Caenorhabditis elegans: one gene and its partner. The protein of the gene in region 2 interacts with the protein of the main gene of each other region in a pairwise test. Each region holds a gene or a part of one and is shown on either strand. Other genes may lie near its edges. The genes, in order: air-1 and ubxn-2.

What was found.
Region 1: the proteins of ubxn-2 (region 2) and air-1 interact in a two-hybrid assay, tested with the Caenorhabditis elegans proteins (one study listed by BioGRID).

Annotation. Positions count from the first base shown.
Region 1 is NC_003283.11:8,219,584-8,224,328, reverse strand, and holds air-1 (Aurora kinase), read right to left. Parts: upstream 2,842-4,745; 5' UTR 2,829-2,841; coding exon 2,778-2,828; intron 2,734-2,777; coding exon 2,672-2,733; intron 2,627-2,671; coding exon 2,441-2,626; intron 2,388-2,440; coding exon 2,244-2,387; intron 2,200-2,243; coding exon 2,091-2,199; intron 2,049-2,090; exon of another isoform or gene 1,880-2,048; intron 1,816-1,879; coding exon 1,588-1,815; intron 1,551-1,587; exon of another isoform or gene 1,356-1,550; intron 1,292-1,355; coding exon 1,091-1,291; 3' UTR 747-1,090; downstream 1-746. Other genes in the region: cogc-6 (Conserved oligomeric Golgi complex subunit 6), read left to right, coding at 3,125-3,214, 3,263-3,403, 3,450-3,963, 4,010-4,245, 4,294-4,745.
Region 2 is NC_003282.8:2,719,702-2,727,663, forward strand, and holds ubxn-2 (UBX domain-containing protein 2), read right to left. Parts: upstream 6,119-7,962; coding exon 6,108-6,118; intron 6,057-6,107; coding exon 5,946-6,056; intron 5,890-5,945; coding exon 5,742-5,889; intron 5,646-5,741; coding exon 5,539-5,645; intron 3,493-5,538; coding exon 3,198-3,492; coding exon of another isoform or gene 3,129-3,197; intron 1,403-3,128; coding exon 1,314-1,402; intron 1,009-1,313; coding exon 864-1,008; 3' UTR 612-863; downstream 1-611. Other genes in the region: ndua-12 (putative NADH dehydrogenase [ubiquinone] 1 alpha subcomplex subunit 12), read right to left, coding at 33-133. UniProt on the Caenorhabditis elegans protein: Ubiquitin-binding protein which acts as an adapter for ATPase cdc-48.1 and/or cdc-48.2, conferring substrate specificity.

The DNA of each region.
Region 1 (4,745 bases), on a different chromosome or scaffold from region 2:
ATCCAATCAACCACTTGACAAACACCTCTAGTGCATATCTACGGGTCATCTTGTTTGTACTCACCTAAATTGACTACATATATCCAAATCTCCATCAAATAAATGGTTAGTAATCACCGGATATGTAACAACCAGATGGTAACGACCAGTTATTCGCGCAAATATTAAACATTTTTGTGCATTATTCTAGTATCTAATTGATCAGTTCATTTCAAGGATTACAGTTATTATTAAACATTAGAAAGAAATGTTTATATTGTATTTTCACGAAATGCTGAGATATCAGTTAAAAGGCACACGATGTTTTCCTGAGTGGGTCTCGGCACGAACTCAGTCATAGTGAGGTTCCAAAATTTACAGATTTTTTCATTTGATATGGAAAATGTACTATACGAATTTTGAAATTCTGAAATGTACAGAAAAAACTAGAATTTTTCATGTAGCACATAGCACCTAGCTAGGATAAAGTTTTTGCGAATGTACGATATTTAAGGCTCTCTGCCAGATACCACTTAACGTTGTTAAACCTCCGCTTTATGTTTCAAACTTTAGCTGTTCCAAAAAACGTTCCCACTCCTACCAATGTAGTGTTAACTCGTTATAATGTTTGCATACCATGCTACTTTTTTGGCGGAACAAAACAGTGCCAAAAAAGGCGGCAGCCTTCTACTTACCGCCACCACTGTTTGAGTTTTGGCTTTTAGCAGAAAGCATTGTATTTCTTCTGAGAACCAATGAACAAAGAGGTGCACCATCGTTTATGTGATAATCGAGACACTTGGATGCGAAATTTGGGAAAAAATTAATGGGGCAGACGGGAACACACGATACAGTACTTTCACGGGAATCTAATGATTTTACACACACACAAATAAAGAATAATTGATTTAGATAAATTTAAATCCTTCTCGTTGTCAGTGTGAGAAGAAACAAAAGGATGAAAACGGATAAATTGCTTAAATGGATTAGCGAAAATAAGAAGTTAGTAGCCGTATGATATACGGTTCTAAAGAAGGGAAAGTGCAGATGATAATTGTTTGGAAAGACAAGTAGAAAAGGTTGAGACTTTAATGGACAATAGACAGAGCTTTTATTGATTGGCTGTAGAATTATTGCGACTGGATTTCGTGAGCGTCGAAATGAAGAGTGGAACTTCAATGTCTTCGCGTTGCTTCATTTCCTTAATCCACGGATGAGCCATGATGTCAACAAGTGGGAGACGTTCTTGGGGTTCCTTTTTGATTATTGCATTTATCAAACTGGCAGCTCCGTCAGTCACAACACTTGGAATCTGCAAAAAAGAAGCAATTTAGATGAAACTACTTGGGAAACAAAATGGAAATGAATGTTTGAGAACTGTCCCGAGGAGAAAAGGAACCATATTGCATTAAAAGCAAACCGGCACACGCATCTCGAGCTAGACTTCTATTGCAGTTCTTTGAAGCTTCTCACAGATGAAACCGTGAGAGGCAGGAGATATATGACATGAAAAGATGAAATGGTTACCCAAACCATCACTTCATGCACATATTTCTGTTGGAGAACTGCTTATTAAGATTCTAACAAATTTAGTTCATAATTACTAACATAAATCTTGCACTCCTTGATTCTGGCGATCAATTTATCACCAGTTTGATTGGCGAACGGAGCATATCCAACAAGCATTTCGAAGAGAAGAATTCCAATTGCCCAAATGTCAACATTAAAGTCATGTGGCTGATTGGAAACCATTTCCGGAGCAAGATAATCCATGGTACCGCACAATGTATGGCGTTTCGAGTGATCAGCAACGACGGACCATCCGAAATCGGCAAGCTGAAATACAAGTCTTATTTTTTAGAAAGAATGCATAAAATGTGTTGAATTTAATTTTTACGGTAATTGTCCCGAGGAGAAAAGGAACCAGATCGCATTAAAAGCAGAACGGCACACGCATCTCGAGCTAAGCTTTTATTGCAATGTTACTGTGTGATCAGAGTATAAACTCTTTTTCAGCTAGTGACTTCTTTCGGCTCGGAGAACCAAAGGATGCACTGAGAACATTGCAGAAGACTTTTTGAGTACTTAGTTAACCATATTTATACGCGTACCTTCAGATTGAGCTTCGAATCAAGAAGAAGATTTTCAGGCTTAATGTCTCTGTGAATAACTCCTTTCGAATGGCAGTAATGCAACGCATTGGCCAGCTGTCGCACAAATCTGAGGAAATTTACTATATTTCTGAAATATCTACAAAATCACACCTTCCGGCAATGACCTCATTCACTTTGTGTCCAGGTTGTGATTGGAGGACATTAAATAATTCTCCTCTGCTGGCATAGTCGAGAATGACGAACACACGCTTGTCATCGTGAAAGTATCCATAAAGAGTGAGAATATTCGGATGACTGAAATAATATTGATTAATTGATTTGGATGAGATGACTTCGAGAAAACATACCGCAAATGATATTGAATTTCGATCTCTCTCTTCAACTGATGACTGACTCCAAGTTGAAGCAACTGTGTTTTGAAGAGTACTTTCAAAGCTATGATTCGCTTGGTCTTTTTTTCACGAGAGATGAAAACGTTTCCAAACTTTCCTTTTCCGAGAGGCCGTCCAACGTCAAAATCATCAAGACTCCAGCTAAAGTCCATTACATTGTAAAAGTAATAAATCAATTATTCTCACCATGATTCTTCCCTTGCCTGGTCAACTCTCTGAGGTCTGCTATCTTCCGTAAGTGAAATAACCTGAAGATTAGAATTGATGCCTTTCTAATTTTAATAACAATTACCTCGGCCTTCTGATCGTCTATCACAGGAGCAGTATTTTCCTTTCCGCTCATGATTAATGTAATTCTGCGAGTTGAAATATTATAATAAAATTGAGGAATAAAAAATTTAATGAGAAAGGAAAAAGAAAATCGCGACTAATTCAAGAACACGTCAAAAATTAGAACAAAGGCAGTCACTTTGAATGAATTTTGCTTGGCGGGTTGTTGAGCGGCATTGCTAAACAACACGCGCTCTGTTATTTCGGAGTGTCGTTGCTGACACGTTGCGAATAAATCAATTCTGCATTTTCTATTCCACTGAGTTCTGCGATTTTTTTCGCAGAATTCGGTGAATTTGAATCAATAAAATGTCAGTAATCGATAAAACTTCATCAGCAGTCAATCCTTTACGAGAAAAAGTGACTACTGCATGTGCAAAGAAGCTGTATAATGACAAGGTCAGCTAAAATATTAATTACAAACGAAACTTATGGCATTTCTTACAGGATTGCATCAAAATTGCTGATTTCATCACTCCACTGGTCGAAGATATGAACCTTGATTCAAATGTTGATAGGAAACTACACAATAAACTAGAACGATACGAGTTGAGACTAAACAAGGAATATTTGAGCGAGTTCGAAAAAGTTAGAATAAACCTGAAATCATTTCATTTTAAATCTGCTATTTCAGATAAATAACATTGTGCAAAAATTCGATGAGCTCTGTGTAAAAATGAACTCCACATGCACGAATTTATCAAAGCAAATGGAGACTGTAAAGTTCAAAAGTGTTGATTTGGTGCAGAAAACAGCAAGCTTGAAGGAGAAGAAAGCGAGTATAGAAAGCCGTTGTAATATGATAAATGAATTTCTCGAAAACTATTCTTTATCAAGTGAAGAGCTTCGAGAATTAGACGAATGTGAACAAAGTGGTCATCTATCGGAATTTTTCTTCAAAGTTCTTGAGAGGTGCCACGAAATTCGCGAGAACTGCAGAAATATGGTTCAGGAGCAAGGACATCTTGCCGCTTTTGAAGTGATGGAAAAAATGCAAAAAATTGACGAAAGAAGCCATGCAATTATCTGTAACAATCTGAAACGCGAATTTCAAAATCTGACAGTTGATTCTCATCAGAAAAAGCAAATTCTTTCTAAAGCTTTCAAAATCATAAGTCAGAATGATGCTGTATTCCAGCTTGCCATTGGTACGTTTAGTTCTTCAAATCTACTCACCATTAACCTAGTTTTCAGACCAATACATTTCATCTCGCTCACAAGAATTGCTCAATCAGTTTGTTGAAATTAACAAAATGGCTGTCCAAATGCCTGAAGGGTTGGCAGAACCACTGAAGGCAGTTGGAGATATGCTGACTTCGATTCACGAGCTCACGGAGCAAGAAAAACAGTTGTTCAGCTCAATTTGTTCCGCAGAAAATCTTCCGATCGTTCTTGATGAATGCCTGAAATCTTTGACTTCGCCGTTCAAGGTAAAAAGTTTAAATTATTGGACTATAATATATGATAATAGTTTACAGATTAGGGTAGAGCAACTGCTGTCGACAGAAAAAAATGCCATCACAATTTTCAAAATGGGAAATATTTTAATTTTCTATGCAAACAAGTTCGAGACTTTGATTCGAAAAGATAGTTATTTTACAATAATGCTCGCAGATCTCGTCAAAACAGTTCGTCAAGTATGTATTGCCGGTATAAATCATCACGTGGACGGACTTATGAGAAAGATGACATCACCACACTATGATCTCCTTCCAGTCCCAGAAGTTCGGCAATGCCTTTCACTTTATCACGGGCTTATTTCAATTGCTGTAAAAACAGGAGATTTGAATCTTCTTCTTGAACCAGAAAGGATCTACGAATATGTCTTGGAACCACTTATTCAGACGGTTCAACTCAGTGCAACTCGTCTGAAATCTGATATTGAAGTTTCTGTGTTCACAATTAACTGCTTAACAGTCATTAGAAGTGC
Region 2 (7,962 bases):
ATTTTCAGCCATTTTTCCACCTGAAAACTTACAAATAACGCTTCTTAAGCACCGCTTTGACACCTCCAATCTCCTTGACCATTTGGCCAAACTTTTGGATTTTATCGATTCCCAGCCACGCTTTCAGGGACATCTGTAATGTAAATTTGGTTGGAAAAATGGGAAATTTTAACGGAATGTGGGGAGGAAAAACCAAGCATTTTGTGAATTTTTTCAAAAAAAAATTTTTTATAAATTTTTTGGCGAAAAACTCCATATTTCCTGTGAAATATGATATTTTTCGAGTTTTTCACTGAAAAATCTTGAATTTTTTGAAAAAAATCAGGGAAAAATCGATTTTTCAGTGGAAAATTGGAACAAAAAAAGTGAATTTTTACATTTTTTGAAAACTTTAAATTTTTCACCAAAAAATCGCAGAAGAAGGATTTTTCTCTCTGAAAAATTGGGAAAAAATCTGAAAAATTCAAAATTTGACTTTAAAATTGAATTTTTAATGGAAAATTTGTAAAAAATGTGCATTTTTCACTAAAAATTGAAAAATTCTGAAAATCTGGAAAAAATAAAAAAAATATTTCAGAGCTTGAAAAACTCGCAAATTCCAAAACAAAAAATCAATAAAAATCGCCGCAATTTTTCACAGAAAACGGTGTACTTTTTTTATGCATTAAAGTGTGATAGAAGAAAGAAAAAAAACGATATTGGGAAATGGGGGGAAAAAATCAAATAATTTAGCGTAAAATACAGGTATTTTCAGGGAATTTGAGAGGTTTTGGGGGGTAAAAACGAGTAGAAATTCGAAATTTTTTCAGATGAAATTTTCAATTTTCAATTTTCCCGCCAAAAAAGCAGCGTCAGGAATCTCCTCAGTTGGTGGTGGGCAAGATTTTCACGGCGACGACCGAATTGAGCACATTTGCATCCTTCAGAGTCTGTGATTCGTCTTCAAATGGTTTTGGAGGGTAGGCAGCCATCATTTGGAATGGAGCGTAGATCATATCTGGGCGGGCGCTGGAAAATCAAAATTTTTAAATTAAAAAAATTTGAGTTTTTTGAAAGAAAAAACTAGAAAAATGTAATTTTTTAATTTGAAAAATGTAATTTTTTAATTTGAAAAATGTAATTTTTCTATCACTGTGTATATCAGAAAAATATTATTAAAAAATAATTATTCATTGGAAAATTTCGAATTTTTCAGGCTAAAAATGTGATTTTTAGATGATTTTTTTATTTTTTTAATTCGAAATTTTCTAAAAATCTACTTTTTCTAGTGAAAAATGAGAGTTTTTAATAGCTTTTTCCGGCTGAAAACTCACGTGCAAATGAATGTACGAACTGCTTCAAGTGTGTGAGAATGATTAAAAATACCGACGAGACGCTGATTGTTTGGCAGACGGATTTGGATCTGAAAATTTTGTTAAAATTAATCAAAATATCAGGAAAGAAGCCACAATTCGACTGAAAATCTATAATTAGAGCCTGAAATTTTTTTTTTTCGAAAAAGTAGATTTTTCTCCGTTTTTTTTGTGTTTAAAATCATATGAATTTTGTAGATTTTTATCGATTTTTTTTTGCCAATTTTTATTGATTTTTTGAAGGATTTTACGACCTTTTTGTGATATTTTTATTGATTTTTCACGTTTTTTTCAGGAAAAAAATCTGATTTTTTCCCAGAAAATGAGCGTCGGAGAGCAGAAAAGCGTCCTGATGGTGTGTTTAGGTACGGTTTTTAGGTGAAAAATAGGTGGCCGAGGTTTGGGTTTCTAGGCCAGCAATTTTTTATTTGGAAAATTGACGAAAAAACGGTCAAATTTGCGCGAAAAAAATTGGTGGCCGACTTTTTAAAACAGTTAGGCCACCGATTTTTTTCGGGTTTCCCATCGAATAATTAGTAATTCAGCACATTTTTGTGAAAAATTGGAAGAAAATAAAATTTTAAAAGTCGATGGCCGAACTTTTGAATTTCTAGGCCACCAACTGAGATGTTAGTCCTCCACAAACGTCTTCTTGCCATTTTGAATTGTGTCTAGCTATTTTCAAATGGGCTGGACTAACTTTTCACTTGATGGTCTAGAAATCCGAAAGTTCGGCCACCGATTTTTTTTCCCAATTTAAGCGAATTTTTGAATATTTTATTATCAGAATCATTTAATTTTAGAGTGTTTTTGAAGCTTATTTTATCCGATTTGAAATTTTTCAGAAATAAACTGATTCTGGGATGTTTTTTCTAGTGTATAATTGATAACATATATTTAAAATTTAATTTTCAAAAGTTTGCAGTTGATTTTAGCCTAATTCTACTGAATTTTTTCTTTGATTTTTCTTTTTAAAACTGCCAATTTTAGCCGGTTTTCCTCCAAATTTCACAAATTTTCGCTCCAAAACCGTACAAACTCCGTACATTTTCCACTGAAAAATCGATTTTTCCGATTTTTTCCGAGCAATTCAAGATTTTTCAGTGAAAAACTCGAAAAATATCATATTTCACAGGAAATATGGAGTTTTTCGCCAAAAAATGGCGAAAAAAATGTTTTTTGGTCAAATTTTTTTCCCCCACATTCCGTTAAAATTTCATATTTTTTACTGAAAAAAAATCCCATTTTTCCAACCAAATTTACATTACAGATGTCCCTGAAAGCGTGGCTGGGAATCGATAAAATCCAAAAGTTTGGCCAAATGGTCAAGGAGATTGGAGGTGTCAAAGCGGTGCTTAAGAAGCGTTATTTGTAAGTTTTCAGGTGGAAAAATGGCTGAAAATGCGAAGATAAACTATCAATAATGACCGGAAAAACATAAAAATTAAATGAAAAATCGGTGGCCGAACTTTTGGATTTCTAGGCCACCAAGTGAAAAATTAGTCCCCCAATTTTGTTTTGACATTCTGCGTGATAGGTCAGGTCAGTTTTGTGGGGGGGTCTAACTTTTCACCTGATGGCCTAGAAAATCGAAAAGTTCGGCCACCGATTTTTTTTTTCGATTTTTATGATTTTCAGGTAATTTTCGACCGTTTTTCTTCTAATTTATTGCATTTTCAGGTCAGTTTTGTGGGGGGACTGAATTACTAATTGCAGTTGATTTTAGCCTATTTCTACTGAATTTTTTCGTCCATTTTTCTTTTAGAACTGCCAATTTTAGCCGCAGTTTTCCTCCAAATTTCCAAAAATTTTCGCTGCTCCAAAACCGTAGTACAAACTCCGTACATTAGTCGTTGGCTCATTCATATTGGTGCTCAGCTCCTTCTTAGCATCTTCCAGCTGTTTTGCCTCATTTTCAGCAGTATGATCCGGGTTATGATCAGTTGTTGCAGATGATGTCCCAGCAGTGGTGGCAGACGACGATGATTGTCCCAAAACTGTTGGGACAACATTTCCCAAACGGACTCCACTACCGCCGAATGGCTTCATCTTCGGAGCAACGTACTCCTCGTGGTGGCGGTTCACTTTGAAATCGATTTCTTTTCCCGGATATTGTTGAACAAGTGATGGAGGGATTTCACTGAAAAAAAACAAAAAAAAAATAGAAAAATTAGTGAAAAATGGATTTTTTGGCACTTTTTTCGGTAAAAATTGGAGAATTTTCAATTTTTTTTTCGTGAAAATTCATCACAATTGAGTTTTTTTTCAACGAAATTTGATTTTAAAATCGGTTAATTTGTAGAAAAATCGATTTTTTTGCTAAAAACTGAGGAAAATATTGGAAAAATTTGAGTTTTTTGAAAAAATGGAAAAAAAGTTCCATTTTTTTTGGGATTTTTCTCGAAGAAATTGGAGAATTTTGAGCCAATTTCAACATTTTTTCGTGAAAATTCATCAAAATTGAGTTTTTCCAACGAAATTTGATTTTAAAATCTGCAAATTTGTAGGAAAATCGATTTTTTTGCTAAAAACTGAGGAAAATATTGGAAAATTTTGAATTTTTTTTAGTGGATAAAAATGCCTTTTCTGGAATTTTTCCGACAGAAATTGGAGAATTTTCATCATTTTTATGTGAAAATTCATAAAAATTGAGTTTTTCCAACGAAAATTGTCATTTAAATCAGCTAATTCGTAGAAAAATCGATTTTTTTGCTAAAAAACTGATTAAAATATAGGTTTCCTCGGTTTCTTAACAATTTACAACTGAAACAATGCGTTTTTTGCGATAAAATGCTAAATTTTCAGGCAAAAAACCGAGATTTTCTCAATTTTTATGTGAAAATTGATTAAAATTGGCATTTTTGCACAAATGTTGATATTAAAATCGCCGCCAAAAATCGTTGCAAAATCAAAATTTTTTTGGCGTTTGCTGAAAATAAAATTAAAACTATATGAAAAACTCAAATTTTGGACTAAATTCTACATGAAAACAGCTTAAAAGTCCCAATTTTAAGTAGAATTTTGCATTTTCAACGATAAAATCATGATTTTCCTGCCAAAAAACCGATTTTTATGTGTAAAAATTGATATTAAAACGGCTAAATCGCTAGAAAATCAATTTTTGGCTGAAAATTGGCATTTCACAAAAATTATTTTTGGGGAATTTTCAAATTTGCAGGGAGAAATATCGGAGATTTTTGGAGAAAAATTGGAAATTTCATGGTTTTCTGTAAAAAATTTTTTAATGTGAAAAAAAATGAATTTTTTGGCACTTTTCTTGAAGAAGTTCGAACATTTTTAAGCCATTTTCAACATTTTCTATGCTAAAAGTTATAAAAATTGAGTTTTTTTCAACGAAAATTGCTGTTAAAAGCGACTAATTTGTAGAAAAATCGATTTTTTGGCAAAATTTTGAATTTTTTGAAAAAAAAAGATAAAAATTCCATTTTCAGGAATTCTTCCGACAGAAATTGGAGAATTTTCATCATTTTTATGTGAAAATTCATAAAAGTTTTTTTAAACGAAATTTGATTTTAAAATCAGCAAATTCGAAGAAAAGTCGATTTTTCTGCTAAAAACTGAGGAGAATAGTGGAAAAAATCGAAATGTGAACAATTTTCAAGAGAAAATCGCTGAAAATCAGCTTAAAACAGTGAAAAACATCAATTTTAAGCTAATAATGCCCAAAAATAACTTAAAAAATGCAATTTTCAGCTGAAATATTGCATTTTTAGCATCAAATTTTTAAATTTTCGGCCAAAAAATCGAGATTTTCTCATTTTTTAAGTGAAAATTAGTTTAAAATGAAGATTTTTCACATATTTTATTTGTTAAAATCAATAAAAATCGTGGGAAAATCGATTTTTTTTTTGGCGAAAACTGGACAATTTCCAGGTAAAGTTTGCTGAAAATAGGATTACTATGAAAAAACTTTGAAAAACTCAAATTTTGGACTAAATTCTACATGAAAACAGCTTAAAAGTCCCAATTTTAAGTAGAATTTTGCATTTTCAACGATAAAATCATGATTTTCCTGCCAAAAAACTGATTTTTATGTGTTAAGAAAAAATCTTGTATTTTGTATTTTCAGTGAAAATTGGATCGAAAATCTTGATTTTCTCGTCAAAAAAATCCAATTTTCTCTCGATTTTCTTCAAGAAATCCTCCATTTTCCGTCATTCCGTACCCTTTTCCGACGCTTTCCAAGAATTCAATAGTTCTGGGGTCCTGGCGAGACATTAACGGGCCGTCTTCGATCGATAAGCCGTCGGACCACAGGTGAAGCGTTAGGCTCTGCAAAAAAATATCGATTTTAAAGCAAATTCGCCGCGCAAAAAATGAGCAGAAATCAATGATTTTCAGCTATTTCAGCAGCCCACCGCGGCTTACAATAGTTTCTCTCCCTGACGGGCGTCCTCTTGGAGCTTCTCCTCCCTCTGGCTGAACCACTTCGGCGGCCTGAAGGATTCTCCGAATGTGGGCTTCACTATCCGGGCCTCGAGCAGCAGCTCCACGTGGTCCTTGAACTGCTTGTCCGCTGAAAAATCCAAGTTTTAAAAAATTTTAATTAAAAAATCTAGGAATTGCGGCTACCTTCCAGCGTAAAATTCCTGTGGGGCTCCTCTCTCGGCGGCATCGGCTCCTGAATCGTCGCTGTCCGGCCCCCCATCGTCGTTGTTTCCAATGTCACGAAACGTGCGAATACTGCAAGTAATTTATCGATTTTTGAGGTTGAAAATCGCGGGCGACACTCACTTTCTGCTCATTTTTTCCGGGGTTTTGTGGTGGAAAATTGAAGGTTTTCACTGTAAAAATATTAAATTTGAGAAAAAATGAGTGAAAAACAAAAAAAGAACGACGAAAAACCGATGGAAATAGGAAACAAAATAATAATGATAAAACGCGCCGAGAAACGCGCCAGCGCGTGCGGGAAGTGCGTCAGCAGCCGCTGTTGACGCAATTCTTGTCGGGGGCACGTTTCCAGCAGCGTCCAAATTCTGCGAATTGATAATAAATCAACAGTTTCTTTGGGGAAAAACTTAAAAAACAATTGTGAACTGAAATTTTACCTGAAATCGAGGAAAAATTCTAATTTTTCTGAGAAATCACGTCTAAAAGTGGATTTTGATAATATATTTGAAATGTCTTTATTTTTAATATTCAAAATTTTACTCAAAAGCATCAAGAAACCATCAGATTGAAAAAAAATCCCACTGACTATGAGAAAAAAAAATTTAAAGTCGGTCCATTGGCGCACTTCTCGTGCATCGCGTGGAAAATTGAGAAATTACCGAAAACGTTCAATTTACTGTTTTTCTTCATATTTTTTATAACATAAGCTTTGGTGGAAGATTACTTTTCAAATATACATCAATTTCCACTAGAAAAATGATGATAAATATACGAAATATGAGAAAAACTCAATTTTTAGATGTTTTTTTCTTTTTATATCATCGCTTTTATTTTTGAACAAAAATCAAAAATCTTTTTTTTCCTTCACCTTACCCTCAAGTAGCTTTACAATTGATACGTAATTAAAAAGTTTGAAATCGATTTCAAACCCATGAAAACTGAAGGAAATTACTTTTCAACGGCAAAATTTTCCCACGCTCACGAGAAACGCGCAAGCCCCCTGTTGTTGGGTCATTTCCACGTGAGGAGGCTGTGAGTCGTTGTTTTGAACGACAAGTTTTAAAAATCTGCAAATGGACTAATCAAAATTATTCTTGCATGCAGGTATTATACGGTAGCTTCATTCCTTTACACACATCATGATCAACCCAAGTTTCCGCAAATGTTCCGAAACTTTAGAGCCATCCTACTCCAAGTCAAGTAGGCTACGTGACACAGGATACCGATTTATTCCTGTAGTTTCAAACCATCATTTGGTTTTTGAACTTAATTTGACAATTTCAAATTGCTCGGGAAACCACGGGATCCTTCACTGCAACTTTTTCCTTACGAGGGACGAGGAAAAGTGGTTTCTAGGCCATGGCCGAGGGGCCGACAAGTTTCAGCGGCCATTTATCTTGCTTTGTTTTCCGCCTGTTTTCTTTCGTTTTTCACAGCTTTTTCCCGTTTTTTCTTATTAAAACTGATAAATAAATACTTTTTGCAGATGCTAAAACAATTTCCAAGTAAAAAATTATTGTTGTGTATTGAGCGAGTGACAAGGAGAGAAGAAGTTTATTACAAGAGAGTGTAAGAAGTAATGAATTATAAAGAGAGGTCGCTTACGCGATAAGTTCATGATGACCGAAAGGTCACGTCTGTATAAAGTTCCAACCTCCGCCTGCCTCTCGCCACAACCCGCTTCTTATGCTAACTAGTGATTTGATATTTATCAAATTTATAGAAATGAGAAAATTATATAATAAATTTGTAAATTCACGTAAAAATGCAAACAATGAGCAGGAAGGCTGGCGGGCAGGTCCCTGAAAACGCGCTTGCCTACCATGGAAGTTGTTTCCTATTGTGACCTACATCTTTCCCGCTTGCTCTGTTGTCCTCTATCCCTCTATAAAAATCAGGTGATTGTGAATTAGAGTTTTCTACTACTTGTCTACTACAATCTTCATAAAACAAAACGGAATAGATGTTAAACATATTT